Linked DNA regions of Anolis sagrei. The protein of the gene in region 2 binds, or shares a complex with, the protein of the main gene of each other region. Links are inferred from orthologs where the notes say so. Each region holds a gene or a part of one and is shown on either strand. Other genes may lie near its edges.

Region 1 (6,953 bases), on a different chromosome or scaffold from region 2:
AAGAAGAGGGGTGATTAATATCTCGGGAGAGGAGAGAGAGGGAGGAAAGGAGGGGTTAAAAAAATCAGCGGCAGTGCGCCATCTTGGAGGCAAAAAACATGGAGCCGGTAGCGGGGAACGGATTCACAAAAGCCTCCTCCGCGGGGACCCGCAGGTCCCTCCCCAGCAACGCGGGCCGGGGAGGAGGGAACCCTACGCCCAGCCGCGCCAAGATGATCGCCCCCGAGCCCGCCTCTGCCTCCGCCCAGCCCGGCCCGGCCTTCCCCCAGATTTGCCGGCTTCGCTTCAACCGGCGCTGGCCATTCAACCGCCCCAGCCTCCCCGAGCACAAAATGGGTCCCCGAGGATCCTCTCCCCACCGGGGGCTGACCCGGGGCCGAGGAGGGAGCCCGGGGAACACCCAAGGCCCAAAACGCGAGCCTCCTTCCTTGCCCCGCCTCCAGGGAAAAGGGCCTTTCATCCTTCTGTTAAAGGGAGGGAGGGAAGGAGGGGGCAGCAGCTCTGGATAAAGGGAAGGGAGCCCACCCCACATCCCCAGGCGCAATGGACAGGCCTCTCTAGCGCAGGAGGGCCGAGGAAGAACGGGAGGAGGGGAGGCAAGGAAGGAAGGAAGGAAGGAAGGAAGGGGCTCGCTTGCCATTGACACCTTCCCCCCCCCCCCACCCCCAAGCTGGGCCTTTTCTGCCATCTCCTCTAAGCATCTGAGAAGCCCACCGAGACACATACACACACACTCAAACATACACGCCTCTCAGGAAAAGCCACCAGCCCTGGGGGAAGAATCACACCGGGGAGAGGAGGGGGGGAGTGTGAAAAAAACGCGCCTTTTCCACGCGTGGAGCCAGCAGCCAGTGCTTTAACTATGGCTTTTAAAGTCACGTCCTGTGCCTGCTGCATTTGGATCTTTTGAATCCTGAGCATTTTAATAGGTGGCAATTCATAAGAAATGCATTCTGATTAATGTATTTTATGGATTTTTTTTTAAAAAAAACTATGTTGTGTACAATATTAGCACTAAGATGAAGAAGAGGAGGGAGGTGAGAGAAGGCATCATCATCATTATTATTACTAAGATGAAAAAGAAGAGAAGGGGTGTGAAGAAGAAGAGGAGGGGAAAAGAGATCAAGAATTATTATTGTTATTATTACTAAGGTGAGGAAGAGGAGGAGGGCTGAAGAAGGAGGGGGAAGAGAGAAAGCATTATTATTAGTAAGAGGAAGAGAAGGGAGGTGAAGAAGGGAAGAGAGAAAGCATTATTGTTAGGAAAAAGAGAAGGGATGTGAAGAAGAAGAAGAAGAGGGGGAAGAGAGAAAGCATTATGTTATTATTGTGAAGAAGAAGAGGTAGATGAAGAAGAGGGGGAAGAGAGAAAGTATAATAATAATAATTCTTATTACTAAGGCGAAGAAGAGGGGGGAGGTGAAGAAGAATATTACGAAGATAGAGGAGGGATGTGAAGAAGGGAAGAGAGAAAACATTTGATATTATTGTGAAGAAGAAGAACAAGGGGAAGAGAGAAAGGATAATAATACTTCTTATTACTAAGGTGAAGAAGAGGGGGAGGTAAATAAGAATATTATTACTAAGATAAAGGAGGAATGTGAAGAAGGGGAAGAGAGAAAGTATAATAATAATTCTTATTACTAAGGTGAGGAAAAGAGAGGTGAAGAAGAGGGGAGAAGAGAGGCTGTATTACTATTATTATTATATTACTAAGGTGAAGAAGAGAGGGGAAGAGAAATTATTATATTACTAAGGTGGAGATGAGGGAGGAAGACATTATTATTATTACTACTAAGGTGAATAAGAGAAGGGAAGAGACATTATTATATTACTAAGGTGAAGAAGAAGAGGGGTGGGAGACATTATTATTATTATTATTATTACTAAGGTAAAAAAAGAGAAGGGAAGAGACATTATTATTATATTACTCTGGTGAAGAAGAGGGGCGGGAGACATTATTATTATTACTAAGGTAAAGAAGAGAAGAGACATTATTATATTACTAAGGTGAAGAAGAAGAGGGGTGGGAGACATTATTATTACTAAGGTGAAGAAGAGGGGGGGAAGAAACATTATTATTATATTACTAAGGTGAAGAAAAAGAAGAAGAGGAGGAGGGGCGGGAGACATTATTATTATTACTAAGGTGAGGAAGAGGGGGAAGAGACATTATTATTACATTACTAAGGTGAAGAAGAAGAGGGGTGGGAGACATTATTACTACTAAGGTGAAGAAGAGGGAAGAGACATTATTATTATATTACTAAGGTGAAGATGAGGGGTGGGAAACATTATTATTATTAGTACTAAGGTGAAGAAGAGGAGGCAATTTCCTCCCCCCCCCCCCTCCTTTTCCCATGAGATGAAGGCGCCTTCTCTGCTCAAGCCCTTCGGGGCCTCCTTTTCCTCCTCCTCCTCCGGGGGTCGTGGTCTCCTTCCCTCCCCTCTCTCTCTGGAGATCTCCTCCCCACCCCCTTCCTTCTCCCCCCCCCCCCCCATGGCTTCCTTCCCTCTCCTCCCTCCCTCCCTCCCCCTCCTTCTCCTTCTCCTTACCGTAATGCTCTGGAAGATGCCGCCGGCCGTGGCGGCCCAGACGTACTTGGCGTCACAGTAGCCGACAATGGCGGCCTCCTGGCAGCAGCCATCGCACATCAGGTTATCCACGTAGCTCTGCCAGCCTGCCATCTTCGGCCCGGTGAAGAGACAGAGGGAGAGACAGAGAGAGAGAGAGAGGAAGGGGGGCGGGGGGAGGAAAGGAAGGAGAGGAAGGAAGCCAATGGGCCTCGGCGGGGAAAGAAGGAAGGAGGGAGGGAGCAGAGCAGGGCAGAAAAGGCAGGCAGGCGGGCGGGCAAGGCGGTCGCTCGGGGGAGGGGACCGAGGGGGTGGGTCCACCTGAGGCGTTTGCGGCGCGAATGGCCGCCCTCCCTCCTTTCCTTTCCTTCGCTTCCTTTCCCTCTCTCTCTCTCTCCAACGGCCTTTTCTCCCCTTCTTCTTCTTCTTCTTTCCTCAGGGCAGGCGAGGCTCGAGGCGGCGGCGGCGTCGAGCGCGCGCTCGAGAAGAGAGAGAGTGAAGAGAAGCAAAGGCTTGCCGCCGCGGAGGCCTCTTCACTTTGGTTATAAGAATCCCTCCGCCACTGCTGCTACTGCTACTGCTGCTGTTGCTTTGCTACTCTATTCCCTTCTCAGTCTATATAGCGTAATCCTGCTTCTTCAAGCAAGGCCTTATGGGCGGAGGGATACCTTCTGTGTGTACGCGCGCGCGCTCAGTGCTGGTGCCTGGCGCGCGCGCGAGCGAAAGAGAGCAAGAGAGGTGTGTGTTTGTGCGCGCGCCTGTGAGGGAGGGAGGGAGGGAGGAGGGATGTGCGCGCGCACACCTCGTTCTTCCTTCTGAGTAAGGGGACTTCTGCGCACCAGCTCCTTCTTTCTCCTCCTCCTCCTCCTCTTCTTCCTTTCCCCCTCTTTTCTCTCTCTCTCCCCTTTGCTGCCTGCCTCTTAGCACTTGTGAGCTAGCTGCCCGGGAGAGGGTGAAGCGTCTTGACAGCTGCACAGCATGCCCTTGTGCAATTGGGATGGGGGGCGAGAACAGATGAAAGCTGGGTCTCTCTCTCTTTCTCTCTCCCCCTCTCTCTTTCTCTCTCCCTCTCTCTCCTTCTTTCTTTCTCTCTCTCTCTTTCTCTCTCTCTTTCTCTCCTTCTTTCTCTCTCTCTCTCTCTCTCTCTCTCTCTTTCTCTCTCTCTCTCTGTATAAATATGTGAGAGGAAGCCACAGGGAGGAGGGAGCAAGCTTGTTTTCTGCTTCCCTGGAGACTAGGACGCAATGATACAATGGCTTCAAACTACAAGAAAGGAGAGTCCATCTGAACATGAGGAAGAACTTCCTGACTGTGAGAGCCGTTCAACAGTGGAACTCTCTGCCCCGGAGTGTGGTGGAGGCTCCTTCTTTGGAAGCTTTTAAACAGAGGCTGGATGGCCATCTGTCAGGGGTGATTTGAATGCAATATTCCTGCTTCTTGGCAGGGGGTTGGACTGGATGGCCCACGAGGTCTCTTCCAACTCTTTGTTTCTATGATTCTCTCTCTCTCTCTCTCTCTTTCTTTCTCTCTCTCTTTCTTTCTCTCTCTCTCTCTCCCCCACCTCTCTCTTTCTCTCTCTCTTTCTCTCTCTCTCTTTCTCTCTCTCTCTCTCTGTGCACCTGCTGGTGGGCTCTTTGCAGTTGGACCTCTTCACCCACTTCTTACTTAATGATGATGGTTTAGTGTGGATCTCGAAATACTTGGGAATCTGCCTCTGCTTTGAATTCCAACTTCCTGAACATAGTGCAGGTATGGGCAAACTTGGGCCCTCCTCCCTCCAGGTGTTTTGGACTTACTCCCAAGGCGTGCCAGTCTTATTTTCTCAGGAAGGACTTATGGCTCCTTGTCTCCATCAAGCGTTATCCAGAATTTTAGGTAAGGTTCCTTTTTTTTAACCTGGGTCACTTTTACTGTACTTCCCTGGATGCTGCCACATTGGAGCCTGGATGCAGTTTATTTATTTATTTATTATTTATTTATTTCGTGTACTTCTACCCCGCCCTTCTCAACCCCCGAGGGGGGACTCAGGGCGGCTTACAAACAGGCACAATTTGATGCCTACACGATACTACAAAAATGCATAAAAACAGCAGTTAAACAGTTATAACAATTAAAACAATCAATATATATCACAATCAATAACCAATTTGGCCCCACTTTCACTTCCCTGGCTCAATGCTGTTAATTAGGAATGTTCTCAGCCTTCTTAATTGCTGCAGCCATCCCAATGTGGCTGTTGCTCTGTATTCATTAAGACACTTCTAGCTTCTAAGGCAAGTGTATTGTCGAAGGCTTTCATGGCTGGAATCACTGGGTTGTTGTAGGTTTTTTGGGCTATATGGCCATGTTCTAGAAGCATTCTCTCCTGACGTTTCGCCTGCATCTGTGGCAAGCATCCTCAGAGGTTGAGAAGTCCAAAAAAAGTACTGTAAATGAAATTTAAGAAGCTTGAACCTGTTTCATAGCTAAAAACACAGCAAAAGATCTTAAATATTTATTTTAAATTTAAATGAGGATGCTTGCCATAGATGCAGGCAAAACGTCAGGAGAGAATGCTTCTAAGGCAGTGTTTCTCAACCTTCCTCATGCCATGACCCCTTAGTACAGTTTCTCATGTTGTGGTGACCCCCCCCCCCCCCACCACCATTAAATTGCTACTTCATGTCATTTTATTACTCTTATGAATTGTAATATAAATATCAAATACAGGATGTATTTTAATTCACAGGACCACATTTGGCACAAATACGTGATACGCCCAAATTTGAATACTGGTGGGGTTGGGGAGCGATTGATTTTGTTATTTGGGAGTTGTAATTCCTAGGATTTACAGTTCACCTACAAGCAAAGAGCATTCTGAACTCCACCAACTATGAAATTGAACCAAACTTGGCACACAGAACTCCCATAACCAACAGAAAATACTGGAAGGGTTTGGTGGGCATTGATCTTTAGTTTTGGAGTTGTTGTTCATCTACATCCAGAGTGCATTGTGGACTCAAACAATGATGGATCTGGACCAAACTTGGCATGAATACTCAATATGCCCAAATGTAAACACTAGTGGAGTTTGGGGAATACAGACCTTGACATTTGGTAATTATAGTTGCTGGATTTATAGTTCACCTACAAGCAAAGAGCATTCTGAACTCCACCAACGATGGAATTGAACTAAACTTGGCACACAGAACTCCCATGACCAACAGAAAACACTGGAAGGATTTGATGGGCATTGACCTTGAGTTTTGGAGTTGTGGTTCACCTACAACAGAAAATACTGGAAAGATTTTGTGAGTATGGACCTTGAATTGTGGAGTGTTTGTTCACCAACATCCAGAGAATAGGAGGAGGGCTTTTGGTGGGAGGATTTGCTATCTGTTTCCAAAAAGGAAGAGAAGGACAGACAGAGAGATCTTCAGCCTTCTGTGCCAAAGGGGATCCTGAGACCATCAGAAATATGTGTTTTCTGATGGTCTTTGGTGACCCCTCTAAAGCCCCCCCTCGACCCCCAGATTGAGATACACTATTTGTCAAGGTCTTTATCCTTCTTTGCCAAAGACAAGTGATAACTCACAGGATTCCCTAACATTGAACCAGGACAGATAAAGTGGTGCCAAACTGTATTCATTCTACAGTGAAGAGTCAGTTTCTGTTGGATTAGGAAATCTGGTGCCTATATTTCGGTGCTTGAGAACCCCCTGCTGCAAAATAAACCAGCAACCTTCTGCATTTGCAGCTTTTCCTGAGAATACCAATGCAGTGACAAAAAAGGGCTTCACTTGTTGATTTCTTTGCAGTTGGACTTCTTAATCCAGTTCCTAATTAATGATGATGATTTAACATGGTTCGTGTGGATGTTGAAATACTTGGGAGCACGTCTGCTTTGAATTCCAACTTACTGAATATAGTGCAGGTATGGGCAAATTTGGCCCCTCCCTCCAGGTGTTTTGGACTTCAACTCTCACAATTCCTAACAGCCTACCGGCTGTTAGGAATTGTGGGTGTTGAAGTCCAAAACACCTGGAGCGAGGGGCCAAGTTTGCCCATACCTGATATAGTGTTTAGGATGCAGTGCAGTAGGGATGCTTGTTTCTAGTTCTGAGCCTGTGACAGATGTTTCTATTTATTTTGCATATGCTGATCATATAAACAAACAGTAGGCTTACCTGGAAAGTCACTTTCTTTGGCAGGGAAGTATAGGATTATACATCTAAGGAATTCAGAAGGACCATTGTGGCCTGAATATTGGCCTAGGATTTTGGGAAACCAGGGTTCATATTCTCGGTCAGTTGTGGAGGAAGGCAATGGGAAATCTCTTCTGCAGAAATCGTGCCAAGAAAGATAGGGTTGCTGAAAGTCAGAGTTGACTTGAGGGCACA
Region 2 (7,415 bases):
TCTTGCTTCTTGGCAGGGGGTTGGACTGGATGGCCCATGAGGTCTCTTCCAACTCTTTGATTCTATGATGGTCACTTGTTGGCCTGATTGTTGCTTTGTGTGTGTATACATTTGTGTATATGTGTATATATGTATGTTTTTCAGTGATTTTATGAGTGATGGTCACACATTGGCCTGATACGTGTCTTGTGTCCAAATTTGGTGTCAATTCGCCCAGCGGTTTTTGAGTTATGTTAATCCCACAAACGAACATTACATTTTTATTTATATAGATTTTGATTAATGTTTTTAATGTTTATGTATATGAATTCTTGTTCTGGCATTGAATGTTTGCCTTATATACGCTGTGCTCCGTCCTGAGTCCCCTTCGGGGTGAGAAGGGCAGAATATAAATGTTTCAAATAAAATAAATAAATTTCATGGCACCAACACTGAGCAAAGCGGACCCCATTTGGAAGAAGCAGTGGTATACTGGAGTGAGGAGGGCTGTGATGGATCATGAGTCAAGCCCTGAGAGCTCCAACTAAAGCTAAATTACAAAACATCCCCATGAACCACTAGTCAATTGAAGAAAGGTATTGACAAGCTGGAATGTGTCAAGAGGAGGGTGACTAAAATGATCAAGGATCTGGAGAACAAGCCCTATGAGGAGCGGCTTAAGGAGCTGGGCATGTTTAGCCTGAAGAAGAGAAGGCTGAGAGGAGATATGATAGCCATGTATAAATATGTGAGAGGAAGCCACAGGGAGGAGGGAGCAAGCTTGTTTTCTTCTTCCCTGGAGACTAGGACGCGGAGGAATGACTTCAAACTACAAGAAAGAAGATTCCATCTGAACATCAGGAAGCACTTCCTGACTGGGCAATCTGACAACTAGATAAGGACAAGCAGACGATTAGGACTGACAGGATTGACAATGTGGAAATGGAATTTGGACTATGAGATAGCGAACGCTGACCATCAATGAGGAGTAATTGGGTTTGTATTGGTTTTATTGTTGTAATGCAGGAATGGTTGTTTAACTGTTAATTGATGCTATTTGTTTTATTACTGTTATGTGATGCTGGCATTGAATTGTGCCTTTGTAAGCCGCCCTGAGTCCCCTTCGGGGTGAGAAGGGCGGGGTAGAAGAAACCGAAATAAATAATAAATAAATGTGAGCGCCGTTCAGCAGTGGAACTCTCTGCCCCGGAGTGTGGTGGAGGCTCCTTCTTTGGAGGCTTTTAAACAGAGGCTGGATGGCCATCTGTCAGGGGTGCTTTGAATGCAATATTCTTGCTTCTTGGCAGGGGGTTGGACTGGATGGCCCATGAGGTCTCTTCCAACTCTATGATTCTATATACTGTGCTCAGCCCTGGATCCCCTTTGGGGTGAGAAGGGCGGAATATAAATGTTTTAAATAAATAAATAAATAAATTTTCATGGCACCAACACTGAGCAAAGTGGACCCCTCTTTGGAAGAAGCAGTGGTACACAGCAGTGAGCAGGGGGCTGTGATGGCTCATGAGTCAAGCCCTGAGAGCTCCAACTTTTGAGCTAAATTACAAAACATCCCCATGAAGCACTAGTAGTGAACTCTGTGACTGGGGGCCACCTCTGTTCCAAACCATGGCAGAAGGCAACAGAACACATAGTCAATTGAAGAAAGGTATTGACAAGCTGTGTCAAGAGGAGGGTGACTAAAATGATCAAGGTTCTGGAGAACAAGCCCTATGAGGAGCGGCTTAAAAAGCTGGGCATGTCTGGCCTGAAGAAGAGAAGGCTGAGAGGAGATATGGTAGCCATGTATAATATGTGAGGGGAAGTCCTAGGGAGCTGCCCTGGAGACTAAGACACCGAACAATGGCTTCAAACTATAAGAAAGGAGATTCCATCTGAACATGAGGAAGAACTTCCTGACTGTAAGAGCCGTTCAGCAGTGGAACTCTCTGAGTGTGGTGGAGGCTCCTTCTTTGGAGGCTTTTAAACAGAGGCTGGATGGTCATCTGTCAGGGGTGCTTTGAATGCAATATTCTTGCTTCTTGGCAGGGGGTTGGACTGGATGGCCCATGAGGTCCCTTCCAACTCTATGATTCTACATGCTGTGGTCAGTCCTGGGTCCCTTTCGGGGTGAGAAGGGCGGAATATAAATGTTTTAAATAAATAAATAAATAAATACATTTTCATGGCACCAACACTGAGCAAAGCGGACCCTCTTTGGAAGAAGCAGTGGTACACAGCAGTGAGCAGGGCTGTGATGGCTCATGAGTCAAGCCCTGAGAGCTCCAACTTTTGAGCTAAATTACAAAACATCCCCATGAAGCACTAGTAGTGAACTCTGTGACTTGGGGCCACCTCTGTTCCAAACCATACAGAAGGCAACAGAACACACAGGGCTTGCCTAAAAGAGGAAGGAAGAAGGCTCCTTAAAGAGAGAACGAGAAACTATGGGGCGAGGGTTGACACTTGAAGAGCAAGTGCCCCTCTGGGCCACGAGGCCACTCCTGAGCCAGGTGAGGGAATGAGAAGAGAGAGGTGTGAGGACAGGGAAGGGAGGAGACCCGGAAGGAGGGGGAAAGGGCCACTGAGGGAAGAAACTTCCTGCCTGCCTGCCTCCTCCTTCTCCTCCGCCGGACAGGTGCGCCTCCCCCTCCCCTCCTTTCGTCAACACTCACAAACTTCCGGGACTTCCCCCCTCCTCCTCCTCCTCCGCTGGGGTCTCCCGCCGAAACCGCCGCCACTGTGGGCTCCTCAGGGCTCTTGCCCTTCTTCTTCTCGCGGCCGGCTCCTCGCGCTGACGGACCTCCGCCGCGGCCACTGCCACTACTGCCTCCGCCGCCCTCCATGGCGCCCCTCGAAGCCGGGCCTGAGCGCGCGCGCGCACCGCCGGGGAAGGGAGGGGGAGCCTTCACTCCTCGAGGCGGCCCATCCGCCTCGCGCCGCCGAAAGCCTTCAATGAGACCCCCTCAGAGCTGCCTCGCGCCGGCCCAGCAGCGCGCGCCCGCCCGCTCGCCTGCCTGAACTGCCGGAATCCACGCCCGCCTCGAGAGGCCCCGCCCACCGCCGTGTCGTCACCGCCGCGCGGCCACAAAGCCGCCTCCGCGAAGCAAAAAAAAAAAAAAGTGGGAGATTCGCCTTGAATCGACAACGGTGGAACAGATAGATACACTGTGGATATAGAGCTACGACTTGTAGAGGAGCCTTCCTCAAGTCCGCTGGGGAAGCTTCCAAGTCCCTTGCGTGTTTTCTCTAGGAGGCCAAAGTGTTGAATCATAGAATCAAAGAGTTGGAAGAGACCTCATGAGCCATCCAGTCCAACCCCCTGCCAAGAAGCAGGAATATTGCATTCAAATCACCCTTGACAGATGGCCATCCAGCCTCTGTTTAAAAGCTTCCAAAGAAGGAGCCTCCACCACACTCCGGGGCAGAGAGTTCCACTGCTGAACGGCTCTCACAATCAGGCTAAACATGCCCAGCTCATTAAGCCGCTCCTCATAGGGCTTGTTCTCCAGACCCTTGATCATTTTAGTCGCCCTCCTCTGGACACATTCCAGCTTGTCAATATCTCTCTTGAATTGTGGTGCCCAGAATTGGACACAATTTCAACAGAAAGGAAGAGGCCATGAAAATGAACAAAATCTGGCTACCAGTATTAAAAAACTCTAAAATTACAACAGCAAAACAGCAGAGAGGAAACAACCAGGCACATCTTAACACCTCTCAACAGAGGATTTTCCCAGGCTCAGCCAGGCCTTCAAATGCTAATGAAGGTGGTCAGTTGAAACATTCACACCTAGCTCCAGCAGGGAAGAGCTCCTTGCCACACCCCAGCCATTCCACAGATATATAAACCCATTGTCCTAATTCCAACAGACCTCACTACCTCTGAGGATGCTTGCCATAGATGCAGGCAAAACGTCAGGAGAAATGCCTCTAGAACATGGCCCTATAGCCCGAAAAAACCCACAAGAACCTAGTGATTCCAGCCATGAAAGCCTTTGACAATACATTAGTCAGGAAGTTCTTCCTCATGTTCAGGTGGAATCTCCTTTCTTGTAGTTTGAAGCCATTGTTCCGCGTCCTAGTCTCCAGGGAAGCGGAAAACAAGCTTGCTCCCTCCTCCCTGTGGCTTCCTCTCACATATTTATGCATGGCTATCATATCTCCTCTCAGCCTTCTCTTCTTCAGGCTAAACATGCCCAGCTCATTAAGCCGCTCCTCATAGGGCTTGTTCTCCAGACCCTTGATCATTTTAGTCGCCCTCCTCTGGACACATTCCAGCTTGTCAATATCTCTCTTGAATTGTGGTGCCCAGAATTGGACACAATATTCCAGGTGTGGTCTAACCAAAGCAGAATAGAGGGGTAGCATTACTTCCCTAGATCTAGACACTATGCTCCTATTGATGCAGGCCAAAATCCCATTGAAGCACACGGACAGACAGGCGGGGAATCCAGAGGCGTCCTCGCAACAGGGAATCCCCCGCTTTTTCTCAACCCAGGGCCCTTCCACACAGCTGCATAAAATCACATGTTGTTTGCTTTGTATGCTTGTCCACTGTGCCCTGCCTCATGTACAGAGGAGGAATTGTTGGAGTCTACAGACAATGCCGTAGCTGTTGCCCATTTTTGGTCCAAAGATATTTAGCCGCCTGCGCGCCTTCTATTTTTATCAGTTTTATACACATTTATGCAATGCTTTTGATGCGAAATAAATGTGCTTTGAACTTGGTTCTGTAGCAGTGTGGACTCTTGAGCCCTTCCACACAGCCATACAACTCAGAATATTTATTTATTTACAGCATTTATATACTGCTTTTCTCACCCCTGGGGGGACGCAATATCAAGGCAGAAATTTTCACAATATCTACTTTGAACTGGTTTATCTGAGTCCACACTGCCATAGATTGTGAATTATCCGACTTGAGATTTTGGTTATGTGTCTGTGTGGAAGGGCCCTTAGATAAGCAGATATAGTGGATTATCTGCTTTGAAATTCTTGAGCAATTTCAAGACAGGCCCTGTATCCCAGGATCTGATCCCAGGTTTTCTGTTTAATCCCAGATTATCTGGCAGTGCAGACTCATATAATCCAGTTTAAAGCAGGAAACCTGGGATCAGATCCTGGGATAGAGGGCCTGTCTGGAAAGAGCCCAAGAATATCAAGGCTGATAATTAACAGTATCTGCTTTGAACTCAATTATCTTAGATCTAGAAACAATATCATACAAAAGCTGACTGGCACAACCTGGGGATCACAACCAGATACAGTGAAGACATCTGCCCTTGCGCTATGCTACTCTGCTGCTGAGTATGCATGCCCAGTGTGGAACACATCTCATCACACTAAAACAGTGGATGGGACTCTTAATGAGACATGCCGCATTATCATGGTGTAGGGTCTCTGCGCCCTACACCATTGGAGAAATTACACTGTTTAACCAGTATTGCACCACCTGACATCTGCCAGGAAGTAGCAACCAATAGTAAAAGGATCAAGGCAGTGACAACTCTGGCCCACTCCCTGTTTGGGTATCAGCCAGCACGCAAACGACTTAAATCAAAAAATAATTTTCTAAGATCTACAGAGACACTCGCTGGAACACCTCAGCAAGCGAGAGTCCAAAAGTGGCAGGCTCAAACCCAGAACCTCAATCAATGGCTGATACCAAATGAGAGACTCCCCCCTGGGCACACAGAAAACTGGGCGACTTGGAAGGTGCTGAACAGACTGCGCTCTGGCACTAAAAGATGCAGAGCCAACCTTAAGAAATGGGGCTACAAAGTGGAATCCTCGACATGTGAGTGTGGAGAAGAGCAAACCACTGACCACGTGCTGCAATGCAACCTGAGCCCTGCCACATGCACAATGGAGGACCTCCTTGCAGCAACACCAGATGCACTCCAAGTGGCCAGCTATTGGTCAAAGGACATTTAATAGAATACCAAGTCTGAAAACTTTGTGTTTTGTTTGTTTGTTTGTTTTTAATCCAATACAACTGTTTTGGTTCGCTCCTGACATGATAAATAAATCTTAAATCCACACTGCCATATAATCCAGTACATGTGGATTTTATACAGCTGTGTGGAAGGGGCTCAGTTGTTGGTATATGCTGGTCTTGTACTTTGTCACTAGTTCATCTTATGTGTAAAAAGATTTTAGAAATATTTTTCTGTTTGACTTTTTGAGGCTGGCGACTCGCTCACTGAGGGCCCTTCCAGATAGATGGTCTGGAGTGAGCTATGGCTCCTCTCATTCTTCTCCATCAGGCAATGCTGACTTAGGCTGATGGGAGTCATAGTCTAACACTTGCCAAATATTAAGTTGGAATGAGGTTTTGTTCTTTGGTTACAGAAGATAAAAATATTTCTAGTTTTTAGCTCAAAGTTTTCCAAATAGGCGGTATGTAAGTGTGCTGCGTGATTGTAATGAGAAACCACTCATATAAATCATATAATCTATATAAAAATGTAATGTTTGTTTGTGGGATTAACATAACTCAAAAACTATAATATGAATTGACACCAAATTTGGACACAAGACAAGTGGCCATCATTCATAAAACACTGAAAAACACAGCAGAAAGGACTTAAAAGGCAAAAAAATGCATTACAACACATGCACAAAACCACATATATACACAAACATATATACACACACATATACATATATATACACACAAAAAATACATATACATAGACTGGGCCACAGCAACGTGTGGCAGGGGATGGCTAGTTCTAAAGATATAAATGGAAGCTTCATGAGACATGTTGTATCCCCATGCATTTCCTTATTACTATTTATATATGTGTCCATGTCTCTTCTAAGAGGTTGGTTTAACATCTGGTTTGCTACCAAAACTTAATTACTGAGCCAAGAAAAGATGCAAAGTGTGTCACCAACAGGAAAAGCTTGGACAGCTCTGTTCTAGAGGGTAGCCTCCCTAAATATGAGAAAGGCCTGCTTTTACAATACTATGTTTCCTCTTTGCCCTACCAGGTGAAAGTGACAGCAACCTCCATGAAACATTGAAATAGTTATGATGGCGAGAAGCCGCTGATCCATCCAAACATTGGCAGAACCAGAATTCATTCTCAGTTCTCCTTACATAAAGAAAAGATGTGATTGTGCCTTTAAAGTTGTTGTACAAAAGACTGGCAACAGCCTAGATGTTTCTAATACTGGACTATTTTGCAAGATACCATACATTCAACCTCATGCATATGTCCGCCCCCGCTCAATAGAGTAAACTGTGGCAACAAGCTAGAACTGCGTTTCCCAAAATGGGCAACATTTTCCCCTGGGAAGCTCAGGAATAACACTATGTAACACAATTTTTGTTCCTGGGTTATAAATGTCATTTTCTAATTGGTTCTGTCATAAAAACATGGGAAAAGTGCATTAAACTGCAAAAGCTTTGTTTTTGCGAGACACCCTGC
Region 3 (7,679 bases), on a different chromosome or scaffold from region 2:
ACTGTTTAGGTTTCAACTTAAAAAACTCACCACTTTTATGGTGGGACCCCCAAAAAATGAATAAAAAAGTATCTCTGTATGCAACCACAAGAGGGCAGTGTACAGCTAGAAATGGGATGCTGTGAGTTTTCCGGGTTGTATGGCCATGTTCCAGAAGCCTTCTCTCCTGACATTTCACCCACATCTATGGCAGGCATTCTCAAAGGGTTGAGGAGTCTGCTGGAAACTAGGCCAGTGAGGTTTATATATCTGTGGAATAATGTCCAGGCTGGGAGAAAGAACTCTTGTCTGCTTGAGGCAAGTGTGAATGTTGCAATTGGCCAGCTTGATTAGCATTTAATGGCCTTGCAGCTTCAAAACCTGGCTGATTGATGCCTGGGAGAATCCTTTGTTTGGAGGTGTTAGCTGGTCCTTATTGATTATTGTCAGGAATTCCTCTGCTTCCTTATGCTGTCAGTTGTTTCCTTGATGTATGGTAAGAACACCTTTCCTCTGGATCTTTGTCTTTACTCTTCATGTCTTGCTATTAGAAATGCCTGTACCTCCCTATGAGATTGAGAGCCCTTCTACACTGCCATATAATCCAGAATATCAATACAGATAATGTGGATGATCTGCTTTGAACTGGATTATCTGAGTCTAGGATCCCCCGGTGGTGCAATGAGTTAAACCCTTGTGCTGGCAGGACTGAAGACTGACAGGTTGGAGGTTCAAATCCGGGAGAGTGCAGATGAGCTCCCTCTGTCAGCTGCAGCTCCCCATGCAGGGACATGAGAGAAGCCTCCCACAAGGATGGTAAAACATAAAACATCAAACCCCTGGGCAATGTCCTTGCAGACGGCCAATTCTCTCACACCAGAAATGACTTGCAGTTTCTCAAGTCGCTAAGATTAAGGTTTTCCCTGACATTAAATCCACTCGTGTCTGACTCTGGGGGGTGGTGCTCATCTCCATTTCTAAGCTGAAGCCGGCATTGTCCATAGACACCTCCAAGGTCATGTGGTTGGCATGACCAAAGCGGTACCTATCCACCTACTCATCTTCCCACATTTGCATGTTTTTGAACTGCCCACCCTGCTCCCTGGATTTGAACCATTGACCTTTTGGTCAGCAAGTTCAGCAGCTCAGTGGTTTAACCTGATGCACTATTGGGGGCTCAAGTTGCTCCTGAAACAAAAAAATCTGACTCTACACTGCCAGATAATCCAGCTCAAAGCAGATAATCTGGATTTTATACATCTGTGAACAAGGGGCCTGAGACAGTGTATTTCTCAAGTCATATTGCCCTGGCAACTCATGGCCCGTTTTTCTATTTGGGGGGGGGGGGGTGTTTCTGTGTTTCCCAGCCGCAATGTGCACACCTGTCCCAATTTTTCACCCTGTGTTCCTTTCCACGAGGGCAGAAGATATTGCTGCTGTGTTGATTCAGAGCTAACATTTCTACAGTGCCCAGAATAAAACGTGTGACCAGATTCCCCCCTCCCTTTCCCAATCCAATGCAATGCCATCTGGAAAGGCCCTTCTTCCTTCATGATGCATGGCTCTCTCCCTTCTCCCTTCGGATCCTCTCTCTTGCATCGATTGGCAGTTCTTTACCTCCACGCATTGATTTTTATTTTTCGACTTCTCGCCTTGTCTCCTACTGTGGCTCGTGACAGATTTCCTGGGTTTTCCTGAAACTGGCAGGTTCCAGGAAAGGAAGGGGCCTCTCCTTCCCTCGCAGGGCATTGCTTCATGTGTCCTTTTTGCACAGATGAGTTTAATAGAGGGATGCAATGGGTTTATTTATTTATTTATTTTGCAACCACTGACTTGTGCAAATTGGTGCATTTCTCTGGAGCACGTGGTTGTAGGGATGTGCCACACTCCCTTCCTTTTTTGACCAGGCTCTTTGGAGGTTTACCTATGTATGGCTTCTGAGTTCAACAGAGCTGCTGCCTCTCCTTGGTGGCTTTCTCCCTTAGGTTGCATGGGCTGGTGCATTTCCCTCCTTTCCTTTAACCCCATCCTTTCGCTTGGAGATGTGCATTGGGGGGGGGGGTGGCTTTGCTTTTGGGTCCTTCCCTTCCCTTCCTTTAGCCCATCCTTCTGCTGGAGTTGTGCATTTGGGGAGAGGAGTTTGCTTTTAGGTCTTTTCTTCCCTTTCTTTTCCTTCTTTTAACCTCATTCTTTTGCTAGACTTGTGCATTGGGGGGGGGGGTTGCTTTTGAGTCCTTCCTTCCCTTCCTTTAACCCCATCCTTTTGCTGGAGTTGTGCATTTGGGGAGGGGAGCTTGCTTTTGGGTCCTTGCATCCTTCCCTTCCATTCCCTATCCCTTTAACCTCGTCCTTTTGCTGGAGTTGTGCATTTAGGGAGGAAAGCTTGCTTTTGGGTCCTTCCAGCCTTCCCTTCTCTATCCCTTTCACCCCATCCGTTTGCTGGAGTTGTGCATTTGGGGAGGGGAGCTGTGCTTCCTTTTGGGTCCTTCCTTCCTGTCCCTTCCCTTCTTTTAACCCCATCCTTCTGCTGGAGTTGTGCATTTGAGAAGAGGAACTTGCTTTTGGGTCCCTTCTCTTCCTTTAACCCCATCCTTTTGCTAGAGTTGTGCATTTGGGGAGAGGAGCTTGCTTTTGGTCCTTCCTTTCCTTCTTTTAACCCCATCCTTTTGCTAGAGTTGTGCATTGGGCGGGGGGGGGGGGGGGTGGCTTTGCTTTTGGGTCCTTCCTTCCCTTCCTTTAACCCCATCCTTTTGCCGGAGTTGTGTATTTGGGGAGGGGAGCTTGCTTTTGGGTCCTTCCATCCTTCCCTTCCATTCCCTATCCCTTTAACCCCATCCTTCTGCTGGAGTTGTGCATTTGGGGAGAGGAACTTGCTTTTGGGTCTTCCCTTCCTTCCCTTCATTTAATCCCATCCTTTTGCTAGAATTGTGCATTTGGGGACAGGAGCTGGCTTTCCATTTGGGTCCTTCCCTTCCCTTCTTTTCACCCCATCCTTTTGCTGGAGTTGTGCATTTGGGAGAGGAGCTTGCTTTTGGGTCCTTCCTTCCCTTCCCATCCCTTCCTTCAACTCCATCTTTTTGCTAGAGTTGTGCATTTGGGAAGGAAAGCTTGCTTTGCTTTTGGGTCCTCCCTCCCTTCCTTTCTTATCCCTTTAACCCCATCCTTTTGCTGGAGTTGTGCATTTGGGGAGAAGAGCTGGCTTTCCTTTTGGGTCATTCCTTCCTGTCCCTTCCCTTCTTTTAACCCCATCCTTTTGCTGGAGTTCTGCATTTGGGGAGAGGAGCTTGCTTTTGGGTCCTTCCTTCCCTTCCCATCCCTTCCTTTAACCCCATCCTTTTGCTAGAGCTGTACATTTGGGGAGGCAAGCTTGCTTTGCTTTTGAGTCCCCTTCCTCCCTTCCTTCCTTCCTTCCTTCCTTCCTTCCTTCCTTCCTTCCTTCCTTCCTTCCTTCCCTTCTCTATCCTTTTCACCCTATCCTTTTGCTGGAGTTGTGCATTTGGAGAAAAGAGCTGTCTTTCCTTTTGGGTTCTTCCTGTCAATTCCCTTTTTTAACCCCATCCTTTTGCTGGAGTTGTGCATTTGGGGAGAGGAGCTTGCTTTTGGGTCCTCCCTCCCTCCCTTTTCTATCCCTTTCACCCCATCCTTTTGATAGAGTTGTGCATTTGGGGGGGGGGGGTGTTGGCTTTCCTTTTGGGTCCTTCCTTCCCTTCCCTTTTTTTAACCCCATCCTTTTGGTGGTGTTGTGCATTTGGGGAGGCAAGCTTGCTTTGCTTTTGGGTCCTTCCTTCCCTTTTCTATCCCTTTCACCCAATCCTTTTGCTGGAGTTGAGCATTTGGGGAGGCGAGCTGGCTTTGCTTTTGGGTCCTTCATTCTTTCTTTCCTCCCCTCCCCATCCCTGCTTGCTGCATTTCCAACGGCCCCATTCAAGCCTTCTCTCCATGTGGCCCCTGCTTTAGAGGCCACCCCCAATACACTGCAGGAATCGGTGCCTTCCTCTGCTCCAACGAAGGCTTTCATGGCCGGAATCACGGGGTTGCTGTGAGTTTTCCGGGCTGTGTGACCATGTTCCAGAAGCATTCTCTCCTGACGTTTCACCCACATCTATAGCAGGCATTCTCAGAGGTTGTGAGGTCTGCTGGAAACTAGAAACGTGGGGTTTCTATATCTGTGGCATGTCCTTTCCCTTCCCTTTCCGCATTTTGGTGCATTTTTCCGCCCTTTGCTGCAGCGTCTCCTTCTTTTCTCCACCGGACAGTAGTAGCATCCATGTTTCATGGGTGTCATGCCCTTTTCCCCCCCTTTGCCTGCCTCCCCTCCCTCCCCTCACCCCGTTTTTACCTGCGATGCATCTGATTCCTTTCTCTCCTCCTCCCCCCCCCCTCCACCTCTTTCCTCCTTTTCCTCCCCTTCTTCCTCTCTTCCCCCTCCTTTTTCCGAAAGGACCACCGCATGACATCATCCTAAAACTCGGCCCCGCCCCCAGGCTTCCCCCATTGGCTCCCCGCGGCCCCCTCCCCTCCGCCCACCCGCCTCCCCATTCATTGGCTTGGCCGCCGTGCCACTCGCAGCCCGCCTCCCCCCGCCCTTACCCACCGAGGGGCGGTGCCTCAAGGGTTGTCCCCGAGCTTCCCGGGCGCGGAGTGGCCAGAGGGCCGGTCAGTCAAGGCTCCCTTAAAGGGGCAGGCGCGCCGCGAGCTTTGCGCCGAGCCAAGGGGCGGGCTTGGGCTCCTGCTTCTCCTCCTCCTCCTCCTCCTCCTCCTCCTCCTCCTCTTCTCGCTGGCTGGGTCTGCCTCGGAGGGGGGCTGCCAGGCGGTGGCCGACCGACCGGCCGGCTGGAGGGAGGGCGGGAGGGAGGGAGGGATGCCGGGGATGGGCGCCGGGGACCCGTGAAGGCCGGCCGCGGAGGAGGCGCCCTCCCGCATCCCTCCCGCAGCAGCACCGCCGCCGCCGCCTGCATCGCCTCCCCCGCCTGCTGCAAAGACAGGTAAGGAGCCCGGCCGGCCCTTGGGAAGGAAGACCGCATCTCCCGGGAGCCTTTCCTCCCCCAAAGGCACCCCTCTTCCATTCCTGAGCATCCCAGGATGCTCAGCCTTGGGACCAGCCTCCCTCCTCCCCCCCCCCTATTCTGTCTCCCCCATCTTCTCCCCAAAATGCAATCCATGACACAGTGTCTCCTCTGCAGCCTTGCCTGCATCTCCGATGGCCTTCTCCCTCCCTTGGCGCCTCCCGCATCCTCTGATCAGGACCCACACCTTCCTCACGCATTCAGCATCCAGCCTCCTCGCCTTCTGCCAAAGCCTTGCATGCCCACAGACTCATCTTGGACCCCAAGCCCTTCTCCCCCCGCACACAGCCCGCTCCTTCTGTCTCCCCAAGGCACCAAAGGGCCCTGCCACACAGCCCTCTATCCCAGAATCTCAAGGCAGGAAACCCCACATTATCTGAGTGTGGACCCAGGCCCCTTCCACACAGCCCTATATCTCAGAATGTCAAAGCAGAAAACCCCACATTATTTGAGTGTGGACCAAGGCCACTTCCACACAGCCCTGTATCTCAGAATATTGTGGAAGGAAACCCCACATTATCTGAGTGTGGACTCGGTGCCTTTCCTCACATCCCTATTTCCCAGAATATTAAGGCAAGAAACCCCACAATATCTGAGTGTGGACTCAGGGCCCTTCCACACAGCCCTATATCCCAGAATACCAAGGCAGAAAACCCCACATTGAGTGTGGACTCAGGCTCCTTTCACACAGCCCTATATCAGCCTTGGGACCAGCCTCCCCCCCCCGCCCCCCTTGTGGCAGGAAACCCCACATTATCTGAGTGTGGACTCAAGGCCCTCCCACACAGCCCTATATCTCAGAATATTAAGGCAGGAAACCCCACAATACCTGAGTGTGGACTCAGGCCCTTCCACACAGCCCTATATCTCAGAATATTGTGGCAGGAAACCCCACGTGTTCTGAGTGTGGACTCAGGGCCCTTCCATACAACCCTATATCTCAGAATATTGTGGCAGCAAACCCAACATTATCTGAGTGTGGACTCAGTGCCATTCCTCACATCCCTATTTCCCAGAATATTAAGGCAGGAAACCCCACAATATCTGAGTGTGGACTCAGGGCCCATCCATACAGCCCTATATCCCAGAATACCAAAGCAGAAAACCCCACATGATCTAAGTGTGGACTCAGGCCCCTTCCACACATCCCTATATCCCAGAATATGATGGCAGAAAATCCCACATTATCTGAATGTAGACTCAGGCCCCTTCCACACATCCCAGAATATCCAGACAGAAAATCCCACATTATCTGATTGTAGACTCAGGGCCCTTCCACACAGTCCACAATATCTGCTATGAACTGGGTTTTCTGAGTTCACACTCAGATAACATGGGATTTTCTGCCTTGTGTGGAAGGGCCCTTAGAGCTTCCTTCTTCCTCTCCTTACTCTTCCTCACAGCACCCAGGACACTTTCCATGCCATCTCCGCCATCTCAACCCTCTTTTCCCACCACAAACCCCCTCTGATGCCACCCAACCAACCAATCAACCAAAGCAAGCAGGCATCCTCTAGCTTGCTCTTATACCTTTCCTTCCTTCTTCTCCTGGAACCTTCTCTTTATTTATTTACTTCGCTTGTATACTGCTTTTCATGGAATCATAGAGTTGGAAGAGACCTCGTGGGCCATCCAATCCAACCCTTCAGCCAAGAAGCAGGAAAATTTCATTCAAAGCATCCCCAACAGATGGCCATCCAGCCTCTCTTTAAAAGCCTCCAAAGAAGGAGCTTCCCTCCACCACATTCCGAGGCAGAGAGTTCCACTGCTGAACAGCTCTGTCTCACAATCAGGAAGTTCTTCCTAATGTCTAGGTGGAATCTCCTTTCCTGTAGTTCAATACCCTAGTCCCTGGGGCAGCAGAACACAGGCTTGCTCCCTCCTCCCTGTGACTTCCCCTCATATATTTATACATGGTCATCATGCCTCCTCTCAGCCTTCTCTTCTGCAGGCTAAACATGGCCAGCTCTTTAAGCCACTCCTCATAGGGCTTGTTCTCCAGACCGTTGATCATCTTCGTCACTCTCCTCTGGACACATTCCATCTTGTCAACATCTCCCTTAAATTGTGGTGTTCAGAATTCATAGAATCATAGAATCATAGAATCAAAGAGTTGGAAGAGACCTCATGGGCCATCCAGTCCAACCCCCTGCCAAGAAGCAGGAATATTGCATTCAAATCACCCCTGACAGATGGCCATCCAGCCTCTGCTTAAAAGCTTCCAAAGAAGGAGCCTCCACCACACTCCGGGGCAGAGAGTTCCACTGCTGAACGGCTCTCACAGTCAGGAAGTTCTTCCTAATGTTCAGATGGAATCTCCTCTCTTGTAGTTTGAAGCCATTGTTCCGCGTCCTAGTCTCTAAGGAAGCAGAAAACAAGCTTGCTCCCTCCTCCCTGTGGCTTCCTCTCACATATTTATACATGGCTATCATATCTCCTCTCAGCCTTCTAATTGGACACAATATTCCAGGTGTGGTCTGACCAAGGCAGAATAGAGGGGTAGCATGACATCCCTGGATTTAGACACTAGACTCCTATTTATGCAGGCTATAATCCCATTGGCTTTCCCCCCCACCACATGACATGGTTGGCTCATGTTTAACTTGCTGTCCACGAGGACTCCAAGATCTTTTC

What was found. Proteins that work in one complex are often made in the same cells at the same time.
Region 1: the proteins of DIAPH1 (region 2) and PFN2 are in contact, whole or in part, in a crystal structure (PDB 2V8F), measured with the Mus musculus proteins. The link is inferred for Anolis sagrei from reciprocal best matches to the Homo sapiens genes DIAPH1 and PFN2. Residues at the interface, in NP_031884.1 of Mus musculus: Ile635, Pro636, Pro637, Pro638, Pro639, Pro640, Leu641; in NP_062283.1 of Mus musculus: Ala2, Gly3, Trp4, Ser6, Tyr7, Asn10, Ala28, Tyr30, Trp32, Arg108, Met131, Tyr134, Leu135, Ser138, Phe140.
Region 3: the proteins of DIAPH1 (region 2) and PPFIA3 are in contact, whole or in part, in a crystal structure (PDB 4UWX), measured with the Mus musculus proteins. The link is inferred for Anolis sagrei from reciprocal best matches to the Homo sapiens genes DIAPH1 and PPFIA3. Residues at the interface, in NP_031884.1 of Mus musculus: Lys252, Ser255, Ala256, Ile259, Gln307, Asn310, Ala311, Thr314, Pro315, Ala316, Glu317, Arg322, Gln352, Cys354, Val355, Glu358, Gln359, Glu362; in NP_084017.2 of Mus musculus: Pro719, Arg720, Arg723, Leu724, Arg726, Met727, Ala728, Ala730, Leu731.

The regions. Positions count from the first base shown.
Region 1 is NC_090023.1:240,960,828-240,967,780, forward strand, and holds the start of PFN2 (profilin-2), read right to left. Parts: upstream 3,050-6,953; 5' UTR 2,689-3,049; coding exon 2,557-2,688; intron 1-2,556. UniProt on the Homo sapiens protein: Binds to actin and affects the structure of the cytoskeleton. At high concentrations, profilin prevents the polymerization of actin, whereas it enhances it at low concentrations. By binding to PIP2, it inhibits the formation of IP3 and DG.
Region 2 is NC_090024.1:135,161,810-135,169,224, reverse strand, and holds the start of DIAPH1 (protein diaphanous homolog 1), read right to left. Parts: upstream 3,033-7,415; 5' UTR 2,823-3,032; coding exon 2,652-2,822; intron 1-2,651. UniProt on the Homo sapiens protein: Actin nucleation and elongation factor required for the assembly of F-actin structures, such as actin cables and stress fibers. Binds to the barbed end of the actin filament and slows down actin polymerization and depolymerization.
Region 3 is NC_090026.1:28,515,857-28,523,535, reverse strand, and holds the start of PPFIA3 (liprin-alpha-3), read left to right. Parts: upstream 1-4,630; 5' UTR 4,631-4,964; intron 4,965-7,679. UniProt on the Homo sapiens protein: May regulate the disassembly of focal adhesions. May localize receptor-like tyrosine phosphatases type 2A at specific sites on the plasma membrane, possibly regulating their interaction with the extracellular environment and their association with substrates.